3 linked regions of the Arabidopsis thaliana genome follow. The protein of the gene in region 3 interacts with the protein of the main gene of each other region in a pairwise test. Each region holds a gene or a part of one and is shown on either strand. Other genes may lie near its edges. The genes, in order: ZW9, AT5G64160 and AT3G51660.

What was found.
Region 1: the proteins of AT3G51660 (region 3) and ZW9 interact in a two-hybrid assay, tested with the Arabidopsis thaliana proteins (one large-scale study listed by BioGRID).
Region 2: the proteins of AT3G51660 (region 3) and AT5G64160 interact in a two-hybrid assay, tested with the Arabidopsis thaliana proteins (one large-scale study listed by BioGRID).

Annotation. Positions count from the first base shown.
Region 1 is NC_003070.9:21,611,303-21,616,148, forward strand, and holds ZW9 (TRAF-like family protein), read right to left. Parts: upstream 2,868-4,846; 5' UTR 2,788-2,867; coding exon 2,399-2,787; intron 2,184-2,398; coding exon 2,014-2,183; intron 1,921-2,013; coding exon 1,638-1,920; intron 1,550-1,637; coding exon 1,398-1,549; intron 1,289-1,397; coding exon 1,092-1,288; 3' UTR 501-1,091; downstream 1-500. Other genes in the region: AT1G58265 (Cytochrome P450 superfamily protein), read left to right, coding at 1-86.
Region 2 is NC_003076.8:25,669,006-25,673,274, reverse strand, and holds AT5G64160 (plant/protein), read right to left. Parts: upstream 2,346-4,269; 5' UTR 2,335-2,345; coding exon 2,131-2,334; exon of another isoform or gene 2,057-2,130; intron 1,830-2,056; coding exon 1,712-1,829; intron 1,405-1,711; coding exon 1,257-1,404; intron 1,171-1,256; coding exon 957-1,170; 3' UTR 565-956; downstream 1-564. Other genes in the region: AT5G64170 (dentin sialophosphoprotein-like protein), read left to right, coding at 53-188, 270-371; AT5G64150 (RNA methyltransferase family protein), read left to right, coding at 2,544-3,296, 3,540-3,785, 4,144-4,269.
Region 3 is NC_003074.8:19,163,487-19,167,248, forward strand, and holds AT3G51660 (Tautomerase/MIF superfamily protein), read right to left. Parts: upstream 1,837-3,762; 5' UTR 1,591-1,836; coding exon 1,480-1,590; intron 971-1,479; coding exon 743-970; 3' UTR 509-742; downstream 1-508.

The sequences.
Region 1 (4,846 bases), on a different chromosome or scaffold from region 3:
AATTCAGATCAAGAATTTTTAGAAAATGTTTGGGTGACAAATCATCAAGTGATATAATCTTGTTAAGTACTATTTATGTTTTTTAAGGGAATTTTGCCAATTGTGCCATATTTGTATAAATATTTTGTCGGCAATGCTATTTTTTATATCTTTAAAATTGTGCAATGAGTCAGCTTTTGACAAAGGAGAAGATGTCTAAACTACCTTTAATTGGTTATGGAGGGAAACAAAACATTTCGCCCAATGAGGCTGACACCTCTGCCAAAAGCAGTTGACGTCTAGATAAGATGATGGTGTGGCGTGGCACATTAAATGTGGACAGAAAGAAAGTTATGATGGTTGTTATACAATAAAAATGGTTGCTTTTAATACAATAATAATTTATCACTTGATGATTTGTCACCCAAACATGTAGGAGTCGACGAGAAACGAAGAAAGATGGATGTAGATAATGTATCGGAGAAGGGATGATGGACAACAATACTGTAGTTGTAGCAGTCGACGAGAAACGAAGTAAACAAAATACAGATGTCCACGAAGATGGAACCGTGGACAAGTTTTTAGTAGCAGTTCATGTTCCTAGTATATCTAACAAATCTTCAAAAGTACAGTAGTTGAAGCCGAGGACGGGAACATAAATGAAAAGTGAACAAAAAGTTTAAGCGCAGTAGACAACTGTACAACTACAAGCAATAGAGAGGAATCGATGTAGATAATGTTTATGGAGAAGAACAACATTGTAGTAATTGTATTAGTGGACGAAAAACGAAGTGAAAAGAATAATCAATTACTAAGGACAAAACTACAATTATTGAAGCCGTAGACGATCGACTAAACGATTAAGAAGTGGACAATTATAAAAGGAAATGTGAATGGATTACGTACCCAATCTTTAAATCCAAAAAAAAAAAAAAACATCCTAGGGACTGCCTCTTTCATCCTATCCAATTTGGTATTCAATATGTGAAATCAGATTGATCAAGTTTGACATAGGAAAGCTCGAACTCATTATTATTGAACAGAAACAAAAAACACAATGAAGCAAAGTGATAGTAGCCAGTTGTAAAATTACACTAGCGACGATTAGTCACCTAAGTACTATCTCCCGTTAAAACATTAAGAGACGATTGATGAGAGTAGTAGTCGGTTTTCGAGAAGGACAAGATCTGGACTTCAAGTTTGAGAGTATCGTTGACTAGGAAACCTTTTGATGTGTTTTTGATATCTGCAAATGATAGAAACCTGTCGAAACCCCATCCATTCTCCGTTGCATTGGGCCATGCCGCCACTGTGTATATAGGAAGAAATCAAAAGTTATTTTTATTTTTTAAAGGCTCATTAATTATAATTAATTAGCTTTAAATTAGTAGTAGTAGTTGACAAAGTAGATATCAAACCTTTTTTCTCGAAATTGTTGGATTGGATCTGGTCAATAACTCGTAACTTAGCTTCCACATAACCCTTATCATTTGACTGATCACTCAACAAATAGAGTGACAACGAATTACCCGTAGCATTTCCAACTCCATTTGGATACACTTTCAATGCCCTTCAATGTAAAAAACCATCATATTATTAAACTAACACATCTTGTACGTATTGTTATATATATACAAGAGGAAGAAAGTCACACGTACCAGTTTCTTCCTCCGGAAGAAAAGGAATCAGAAGTGTAAGAGTCAAGAAAACGTGTAGAGAATTTGGTGAGTCTCCATTCGAAAATAGGGTCACGAATGTTTTGTTCATTAGAGAACACTTCCCAATTTTCAAAGGGTTTAACAATGTTGATGTCAACGCCAAACACAACGCTTTCGCCCTCGAAAAAGTATCCATATGCCGGATTTTCAAAATAGTAAATTGGTAGAAATTGTAAAAGTCCCCACTGTTGTTTAAACAAATGAAATCGCTGGGCCTCAGTCTCTGCAAACGGATCAAACTTAAATAACTAGTCTGAACAAACCACAAAAGATTTAAACATATATATTTACTTGCTCTAGATTAGTTAATTAGTACCCTGGCTTATTTGGTACTTGTCTGTACTGCTTTTATAAGCGAGGAATGTGATCTCTGCATACACATCTTTTGGATTGGTGATGAGGCTTGAGTTATCGACTCTTACGTAAATCGAAACGTACCCACCCGAGTCCGTTGGAATGTATATGACTGGGTAGATTAGGAGCGTCCTTATAACATTTTAAGTAGAAATATGTCAAATTATATACAAATTAAAATTTGGGTGAGATTCAGAGCAATAAGTTAAAATCTTTCACATAGAAAGTGGAGATGATCAAAACACTAGTATATAAATGAATACCCTTTGACAAAAAAAAATGTATATCTTCTATGTATAAGGTATGGTTTCTCAACATTTTTGAAATGGAAGTCAACGCGTACGTACCAATTGTATCCACCGACGGAGAAAGGACGTGACTCATACTTGCCACCGTTTTCTTTGACCTGCTTTGCCATAGTGACAAAAGACTGGAACTTCACGCAGTACGAATTTGGAGGACGAGTTCTCGTATCTGTTGTTACTGCTTGCGAGAGCTTCTGTTCATCATGAGCACGAACAGAGGCAGAGCTAGGTTTTGACGAGCCACACGGAAGATTCCCTGAGTTCCCCACCGCCATGAAACCTTCTTCTACTACTGCTTCCGTCTCAATTAGGTTTTGAAGGTTGATATAAGGTTTTGCGAATCTTGCAACCTCCACAATGAGTACGAAACAGAAGAAGCAGTAGACAAAGATTGAACCATAATTTCTGCTTTTCTTTTCCTCTGAATACATTATTTCTTTTTCTATATTTTGTGTTTGTAATAATGTCTTGTTTTATGTACGTATATATAGGCATAATGATAATATGTGTCACGAGATTCACGTTTATTAGTGATTAGTTCTCAGTAATACACCAATCTCATGAGATCGTTAGTTCTCAGTAATACACCAATCTCATGAGATCGTGACACGTAGGTATTCACTAATTAATTAGCACGTTCTACGACATATTGTTTTGTTGGGATATACGTGTCTCACAAAATAGTAATTGTTTTCTGCTGCATCATTATTTTAACTTATAAGTACAAGAGCAAGTCATAGTGGACAACTTCGTGTTACGCACGTCTCAAAGCAGCTTAAAAAACCCATTGATGAGATCTCGATTCGTACCAACTACCAGACACGATTCATACTCATTAATGTTACTAGAGATTTGATTTTTCAACAAAACAAAAAAATAATAGATATTATCTGAATTTAACAGATTATAGTTTTTTTTTCCTTTATTTCACTATCAGTCTCTGTGTACACTATGGTTGTTATTTTTTATTGAATGAACGTGAAACACCATTTTCAAGTTCATCGACAGAGAGATTCGGAACAAGACAAAGGAAGCATTTCGGAAACCACATACAACTTTGGATTAGATGAATTCACTGTTGTGTCTTCTTTGTTTATTTGTTACCTTTGTCTTTATTCTTTTTTGGCAACGCTTCTCCCGGGCCGGCTCTGAAAGAAGCAACATGAAACATTTGTATGTTGTCTCCATTTTTAAAAACTTTTTTTTACAGCAAACCTGATTTATAAATAGGCTTCCAAATATATTTAGTTCTAAGAAAAATATATCCAAATTTCAAAACAGTTTATAATAACCCCAAATATATAATTTGTTACTTTGGCCCCCAAATTTTGACCGGTCATAGGTCTCTCAACCCCTATATACATTATACATCATGTAATTCCAAAACTATTATATATATATATACACACTATTTCATTAATATTTACATTTATATATAATAATAATAATAAAAACCATGACAAAGCATCAACCCTTACCATATCCATAAAATATATTACTCTTGCGATTACCTAATGACATCTATATGACCCTATCGATTTAATTGCCAGCGCGGTATAACAGTGACACCAATAATTCACACTACCAATTCAAAATCAATTCCCGATAAATAAATAATTGAAACCAAAATATTTCAATACTAGATTTTAACCCGCGGTACACCGCGGGGACAATTTATATTTTAAAGTTAATATATATAAAATTTTGCAAATTGTATCTATCTATAAAATATTTTTATTTTATAATTTACAATTGTTATTAAGTAACGTTCTGCCAAACCCGTCACGCCAAACCCGTCCCGTAAAAAAACCATTATTTTATTAATGTTAATCTTATTTATGATATGTTTATGAATTATTGTCTAAATATTTTAGTCGATGTGGGACGTTGAACTCAAACATTTTTCGCCAATTGGTTAATATATGTTTATTTTTAAAATTTCGAATCACAAATTATGGCGGAAAGAATAGAGATTTTTTTAAACTTTATATATTATATAATGATGTTAAAAAATTATGATATATTAAACTTTTTATAATTTTAAATATTAATAATGTTTTATAAATTTAAAATATTTAAATAATTATATTTATTTATTTTATATTTTGAGCCTTTAAGGTAATGACATAATAACTCTAAAAGCAAGGATTTAGAAGATTTAAATCTTTAATTAAATATTTTCATTCCTAAATAATTAATGTCAGTGTCATGAGATTGTAAATAAGTTCAAATACATGATTTATTTATTTAAACAAAAAATGTTTAGTAAGAATAATATTTGTTTTAACAAAAAACTTTGTTTTAAAATATTGTTAACAAATATGTTTATGCTAATTTTAAGGGTTAAATTTGATTGATAATGTGGTTGACAATTTAAATCAAGTAAAATTAATTATTTTGGAGAAAAGATTTAATGCTAATGGCATTGAGTTGTAAATAAGTCCAAATTCAGGATTTATTTGTTAAAATGGCTGCAAAAATGTATATGTA
Region 2 (4,269 bases), on a different chromosome or scaffold from region 3:
CTTCATTTCTCTTAGATTCTAATCTTTGATATCTGTATGTGGTCTCATCCAGGTATGCTGGATTCATGGATATCGAAACTGATACAAACCCGATAGATCGATCGATAGCTCATTTGCTGTTTCACAGGCCCTCAGACTCATCTCTTTCATCCGATAACAATGTTCTGTCTTATAAATCTCATCCAATGGTAAGTTAAACCTTCGATTCTTACACCGCCATTTAATGTGCAAAACACAGTGCCTCATTTTACCCATCACTATCTACACAGATTCCTCAGCCCAATAGTAGTCCGAGCCTGAGGATAGAGAAACAAGAGGAAACTACAGAACTTAGACCCGAAGCAGAAGTTGTAACAAGTGACAACAATTAATGATGTCAAATAAAACTGGCTCTTTCATTGCTGAAGCATTCGAGATATTGTTGTTAACACTAATCTCGATTTTGGCTAAGCGAAATTGCTCAGGTTAGTTACTAAAATCCTGACTGCTTCTTCATTAGAATCATGGATTTTGTAACACAGTTGTATTTATGTGTTGAGATAACTTTCTGGTCTAGATTTCGGTTCGAACCTGATTGTACACCTGGTTGCTCGAACCTGATTGTACACCTGGTTGCTCGAACCAGGTCTTTAAGATATGTTCTTTACCTTTGTAATCTGTTCAAGTTGTTAAGTAGAGGAAGAAGTAGAGACATAGCAATTCTGTAGATAAAGATGTTAGTTCGTTTTGTAATGCGATAAAATATTCTGCTGTGTATTTACTCTCTTTTTTTCAAAATAGCGAATTTTAGGGTTTTATTTTCCAATAAATATTTGATGATCTCATAAATATATATATTTCAATAATGATGAAATTAGACATTCCGAAGCAAATTATAAGATTAACCTTTGTGTCACAAGCTACGTTACAGAAATTGGATTTGGATGGTACAAATGTAGTAAAAGGTAAAAGAAACACTAATCGAAAGTTTGCCTAAGCTGCATCTCGGTTTCACTTTTCCAAGAAGCGTGAGAAGATTGTCCTCTCATTCTTTTGCTCTTCTCTTTATCTTTGATCGTAGAGCCTTTCTTCTTCGCGTCTACGTCCGGTAATGGCCGGTCACCACAAATCGGGCATACCATTCCTCTTGCGCTTGTATATGTTTTCGGTACACCGCATTGCACACACATCCTAAACTCATCATAGAAATCCTAATCAAGCTCACATTGTGCAAATTTATACTAAAGAATGAAGAAGAGGGCAAGGGTTATTCATACCTCAAGAGATCTGCAGATTCTTCTGCATTAGGATTGGTTGCAGTAGATATCCGCTTTTCACCACTCTCTGAAGATGGGGGTGCATCAATATCGTTTCTTACTCTCTCATGGATTCCTACTAGTTGAGGTTTTGCTTCCATGACAACACCTACAAGCCAATAAACGGAAACCATCAGGCTGGATCGAGAGATAACAACAGTTCCATAAACAGAACTGTGAAACTGGATAGATAGAGATTACAACACAAAGTGCCTGGTTTCATATTTCACAATGTTTATGCTTTAAGTATCAAAACAAGCTTCTAAAGCTAAATCCACATTCACATATATTTTCGAGATACAAATCCGTAATCTTGTGAACTTTAAACCTACTGATGTAAATTCTTCAACATCATCTAAAGATGTACCATTCCCTATAACCAAAATGCTAAGACGATGCAAAAGAGTTGTGGCTACCTTTTGGTTTAACTTTCTTCTTTTTGCGACTAATACGATTTGCATGTTCTGCATCTCTAGCTGAAGCTTCATTATCTGCTTCTGTGCGGTTGTTTAGAAACTCCGGTGGCCCTGAAATCTGCAAAATTCAATAGAAGCAAAGAATCATTCACTATAAGCTTTTCGAGTAAGAAGTAACCAAGCCAACGAACACTGAAAAGTTTTCACTATCAGAAGATCTCTTTATTATTCAAACCCCAAACCTAACCTAGTCTCAGGATTCCTAACCCTAAATTCCGATCACATCAAATCTACAGATCCAAGTAACTTATTTTCATCTATAATAAAGAAACCATTCAATCTCACAGCGAATCTCCTCAAGGAAAACGACAATTCGATGAATTGAGGTGTATAAAATCAAAATCAAAGAGAAGGAAGACCTGAGAGAAAACGTCGTCAGCTGAAGGAAGGCCGGCGTTTTTAGCGGAGGAGGCAGATGCAGAGAAATCAAACACAGAAGACGATTCATATCTCCGAACATCATTATCCCCATCTTCGTCGGAGTTGTCGTAATCCCCAAAAGCTCTCTCCTCTGCTTCTTCTTCTTCAGCAGAAGAATAGCCTTGAAGCAGCGTCAAGCTCATGTTTGTTCGTTGCTCCAAAGATCTATCGGAGCCGCAAACAAAAATAAGAAGAACTTTTCTTTATTTATGCTTTAGCCCCTTATATTCCTTGTTAATCTTATTTCAATCCTCGGTTCAAAACCCGGCTAAAAACAGAACCGGATTATCCGGTTTAGTTGGTAATATATTTATAAACCGATTTGGTCTGTTTGTGCGGCAAAAACCTTGAAATGATAAGAATCTTCCCAAGTCTACGGTTAACCTCTTTGCTCTCTGCCGCTAAACCTCTTTGCTCATCTTCTCCGGCGAAAAAACCACCGCAATACACGTCGCTTACAGAGTCAAAATCCTCTCGGCCGACTAAGTCTCTCAGCATAACTCCCAAGACACCGCTATACCTTAGGACGCCGTCGCACGCAACTTCTCTATCGGAGGTTTGGAAATGGCACGACTGGGCGAAAGATCTGGCGTCCTCCGTAGAGGAATCTTCGAAGAATTCCGAAGATACTCTTGACTCTGTCATTCTCCACCGTGAGCTAAAATGGCTGATCGAAGACTCAATCGTAGACGATCCTTTAGTGATTCTTCATAGAAGCGAAATCGCGGACAACGGCGAGAAGAATGTGAAATTGAGAGCGTCGTTGGAGGAGCTTTACGATTTATGGAGGCAGAGGATCGAGAAGCGTCGGCCGTTTCAGTACGTCGTCGGATGCGAGCATTGGAGAGATCTAGTGTTGTGCGTTGAGGAAGGGGTTCTAATTCCGAGACCGGAGACGGAACTGATCGTCGATATGGTGGAGGAGCTTGTAACGAGAGATGAATGGTTTAAGAAAGATATTTGGGCTGATCTTGGGACAGGAAGTGGTGCTATTGCGATCGGCATTGCTAAAGTCTTGGGAAGCCGTGGGAGAGTTATAGCTACAGATCTCAGTCCGGTGGCGATCGCCGTCGCCGGCCACAATGTGCAGAGATACAGCCTTGAGGTTAGTTGATTTTTTTGCTAAAGCTAATCATGACAAATTATACCAATTGTATTCATGGAATTGGGAATTTTCAACATCAAAGTTGTAATGGATTAGAGGATTTGGTAGATAAAAGCAGTATATTGTGGATTGAAGAATTTTCAGTTTGATTTCTTCTCATGGTGGTTGTGAATTTTGATATATGTATGAGATTCTTCAGCTTTGGTTACTTCTTGCCATTGTGATGAAATTGGACTTATCCAGGGGATGATTGAAGTGAGAGAAGGATCTTGGTTTGAGCCTTTGAAAGATCTTGAAGGAAAACTTGTGGGGCTTGTGAGTAATCCACCATACATACCAAGTGATGACATTCCAGGCCTACAAGCTGAAGTTGGTAGACACGAACCGAAACTTGCATTGGATGGTGGTATTGATGGAACTGATAGTCTTTTTCATCTCTGTCATGGGGCTTCTCGGATGCTTCAACCTGGTGGCTTTTTCGTTTTCGAGGTACCTACCTTATTTTCACTCTGTTTCTCCAAAATATTTAGTAGAAAGATACAATCGTTTGGGTTTACTATGTTTTTCTCTTTGTCTCTGATACTAAAACCGGAAATGTTAGTATTGAAAAGAGATTTAAGATAATCGTTCTTGTGTATGAGTCCGAAGAAACAATTGTTGCTTATTGTTGCTTTCACTTTATCAGTAAGAATTTGGCGTTCTAAGAAGATTATGATTGCCACTCAAAGATCAAAGTCTTGATTGGTCAATTTTCATTATATGTTTATTTGGTTGGAAGATGTTTGCGTATATACTAATAATCACATCAACCATGAAAGATTAATCCTATTTGTTTATGATGATGCAGACTAATGGAGAGAAGCAAAGCAAGATGATCGTAGATTACATGATGACCAGTGATCTCAAAGACTGTTTCTCTGATTTGAAGATAGTTTCTGATTTTGCTGGAATCAATCGGTTCGTGACTGGCTTT
Region 3 (3,762 bases):
TGAGTTTTGATTGTAACATTAGACTCGTCGGCCATTGTTAATTGTAGTGACTGACTTCATAAAACCGGTTAAACGTTGTCTCAAAATGTTTAGCATTTCTTTTACATGCTTAGTTGGATTTTGAAACCTCATCTTAAAGTTCTCTGCCCTTATTTGATATCTCTACCATTCTATTGTGGTCCAAAATCAAGAACGTGTGTGTACTATACCAATTGTTGGCCCCAATCATATGAAACAAGAATTAATCTGTACGACTAAAGATTTTGTTTTTAGAATATTATTTTGTCAAGTTTCATTCATTCATGTTAGCTCCTATTTGAAAATAAACGATGGAATCATAGATTTCTACTAACCGGAAACTCAATGATTTCAAAGTTTGTTTCTAATCTTCAAGGAGACTACTTCTTCTCTAATTCAAAATTGTTAAGTAGATTAAAAATTATGAAACTATGACCAAGTCCAAAGACTTAGTCTTTTTTTTTTTGACAATGACAAAAAAAAAAAGAGTTTTATATTAAGTTTACAAGTCCAAAGACTTAGTCTATGTCTCTCAGATTAGGACATCTCTCGGTATGTTTTGTTTCAAGTTTTATATTAAGATTATAGGGTCAAGATCTACATGAATGATGATATAATAGTAAAAGATTTGTAAACATAAAAATAGAGAAGACTCATAAAGAAAAGAATAACATGTGAGTCTGTATATAATTTGTGTTTGATGAACAATACAAAGATCATAACACTAAAGTTTAGAAGGAAGAGGCAAAGAATTAATATCAAAAACTTTAAAGATAAAACGAGTGGGATGAATAGAAAAATGAGTGTGAAGAATAGAACCAACGGTCGCTATGAGTTCTCTCTTAACTTGTTTGGTGATGCCTCCCATTGACACAATCTCTGCATATGCAGCTGCTTCTTTGTTCCCTCCAAATACTATCTCTACTGATCCCTTCAACACCACCATCACTAACTGCAATGGACATAACTCGTTTATTGAGTAAACATATACAAATTGGAAGATATATTTGTTATCTCCTACATCTTCCCAACACATAGAATGATATTTAGAGGAAAAAAATCTTGGCCACATGCTATTAATATCGATGTTTCCTCTTTTGTACATAAAAATATATCTTGGTTTGAGGGGTCAAGTATACATATTAATAAATCAATAACTGTGATGTTGACTTTTTTTTCTTCTTACAATTCTGAAGCCAATTTACGTGAAACCTAGTAAACAATGCTTATTATATGACGTCTCAATTATCTTATATTTTCTAATATATATAAAAAAGATAGAAAAGGCATTACAATAACTTTAGAATGGATAGAGTATTTGATCACTATTGAATTCCATTAAATAACAAAAGTGCATCTGATATATGTAAGTCAAGGATTTTTTTTTTTTTTTGTCTGATTTTAAAACTTAAAGGAAATTTCTGAAGGAAAGAGAGATTAGTGTTTAAGAGAGGTTCTTACGTTTTGAGGTCGTCCGACGATGGAAGCGACGGCTTTGGTGACTTCGGAGTAGAACGGATCGGTGTTAACGCCGTCAAAATTGACGTTTGTTGTAATGTAAAGACAAGGCATTTTCTCACCGTGAATACTAACGCCCGTTAAGCTTTGTTTGCAAGAATCTCAAGAAACCAAATGAGAGGGGATTTAAATGGTGTTTGGAAGTTGTGGAAGAGAAGATCTCTCACATGGCCAATTATATATAGAGCTAAATTATCGCGTCCAAAAATTAATGAAAGAAATTATTGTATTGCATTATTTTAAAATTTCGTTTTGATGTGAACAATTTTTGAAATAATATCTTTGAGTTTCAAATCTGACAACTTGGGGACGTGACTCAATCAATTACCGCAGCTACGTCGCCCTCGAAGAAATTTGATTTCATACCATATTGGACCACACACACACACAAAAAACCAAGTCCATAATTTTTTGTTAATAAAGGTAAAGGATAAAAACTTGATGTTATTAATATTTGTATTTTCTCCGTAATGGGTTAGGAAAATGTTTACGAGATTCGTTTTAGATCATTGACCTTTTTTTTTTTTTTTTTTTTTTTTTGGGCAAATGTTTTAGATCATTGACCATTTATTTAAAATTGTGTGTTTCGTACACATCCATGTGGTGCGTATGTAGCGCCGCTACTTCGTCTTAAAAAGATTTGTTTATTTCGCAACTGTCACTATAAACCGGTTACCCACAACGATACGTATTATCTGCAAATTAATCTTATCAGTTATCAGTTTTAAAATGTGGAAAACGTTAGATTTATGGTTCCATATTTTCGTATTAACAACGATTATGGGTTATCTAACAACGACTATTACACATGTTTATTTCAAGGTTTGGTATAAGTTCGTTATAGGACTTACCATGAGCCTATATCGAAAGCCAACTTTTCATCCATGTAGAGTCATACCCGGACAAGTTCGGTATGTTGAACCGTAAACATATCACCTATGATCCACTGACTAACACGGTTTGAGTCGACTTGTCATAAAATTCACCTAGTAAAACCGACAACCTGCCTTAATAATTAAACCGTCGAATTCCGGTTTGTGTCTCACAAGTCACAACCGTCCGGATCCCTTGCCCATTTACTTTATCACGTGTTTTTCCCCATAAGTTTATATTTTTTATTAATTGATGGACAGAAAGTTTTTGGTTTTGGGATGAAGTCACGAGGACAAGAAGAAATGGAAAAGGCATCATGACTTGTAAGGGTTAACAACAAGAGATAGAGGTTATATGCTTACGCGGTCCTAAGCACGAATACTAGAAGCTTAGGGTTAGGACCACTAGAGATATAATGCAATTTGGAAGTCACCACAATGTTTAAGAATTTTATCAGCAACTTTGGTTGAAAATAATAAAGAAGAATCTAGTTCGAAGTTTTCTCTCCATGATTTTTTGAAACTGATGGACCATCAAAACATCTTTGGCGTATGGTGGGGCCTCAGAACACATGGGCCGGGCTTGGTTACACATGAGAAAATTGTTGTTTTTAGTTAGATTTTGGTGGACTAGTATAAATGGATAAAAGAAGTCGTTGGAAGAAAACCAAATTGATAGAAGAAAGAAGAAGAAAAATAGCAAATTGTTGAAACAGGGACAGAGGCTGTCTTTAAGGAAAATCCCGTATGATTAAAGTGTACGTAATCGATTAGTGTTCCTCTGTAAGCACTAAGTCAAAAGTAAACTCTAAAGCCAAAGGTTTCAATTTTCAAACATTGTTAAAGCGAAGTCTGTCCACGAGAATTAGCACATACTGGTCCACCATGTTATCAAGAAACGCCAAACCTTTTTTTTGACAATTTATAGTTTTTGAAATATTTAGTAGAAATCTTTTATCTTAAGGAAGAGATTGACAAAAATAGATAAATAAACAAATAAGAATAAAAGATTGAAATTTTTGAAATTAACATATATTTAGCCATAGTGGAAAGAAAAATTTATAATAAGGTTGGTATATCAAAAATCAAAGAACATGTGAAAAGGTTTAATAAAATAAAAGCTATAGAAAATTGATAAGTTTTGTCCTTATGAAATTAATGTCATGATATATATATATATATATATATATATTATTGTACTTTTTAATTAATAATCCCTTTTTGAAAAGAAAAGAAAAATATGTATAAGAATTTTTTGTAGTGTTCATATTCAGTTTTCTAGAAAAGCTAGGAAAGCGAAAGTGGCCTGGCATGGTTTTGTAATTTCCTTTTTTAATATGATCATAAAATAAAA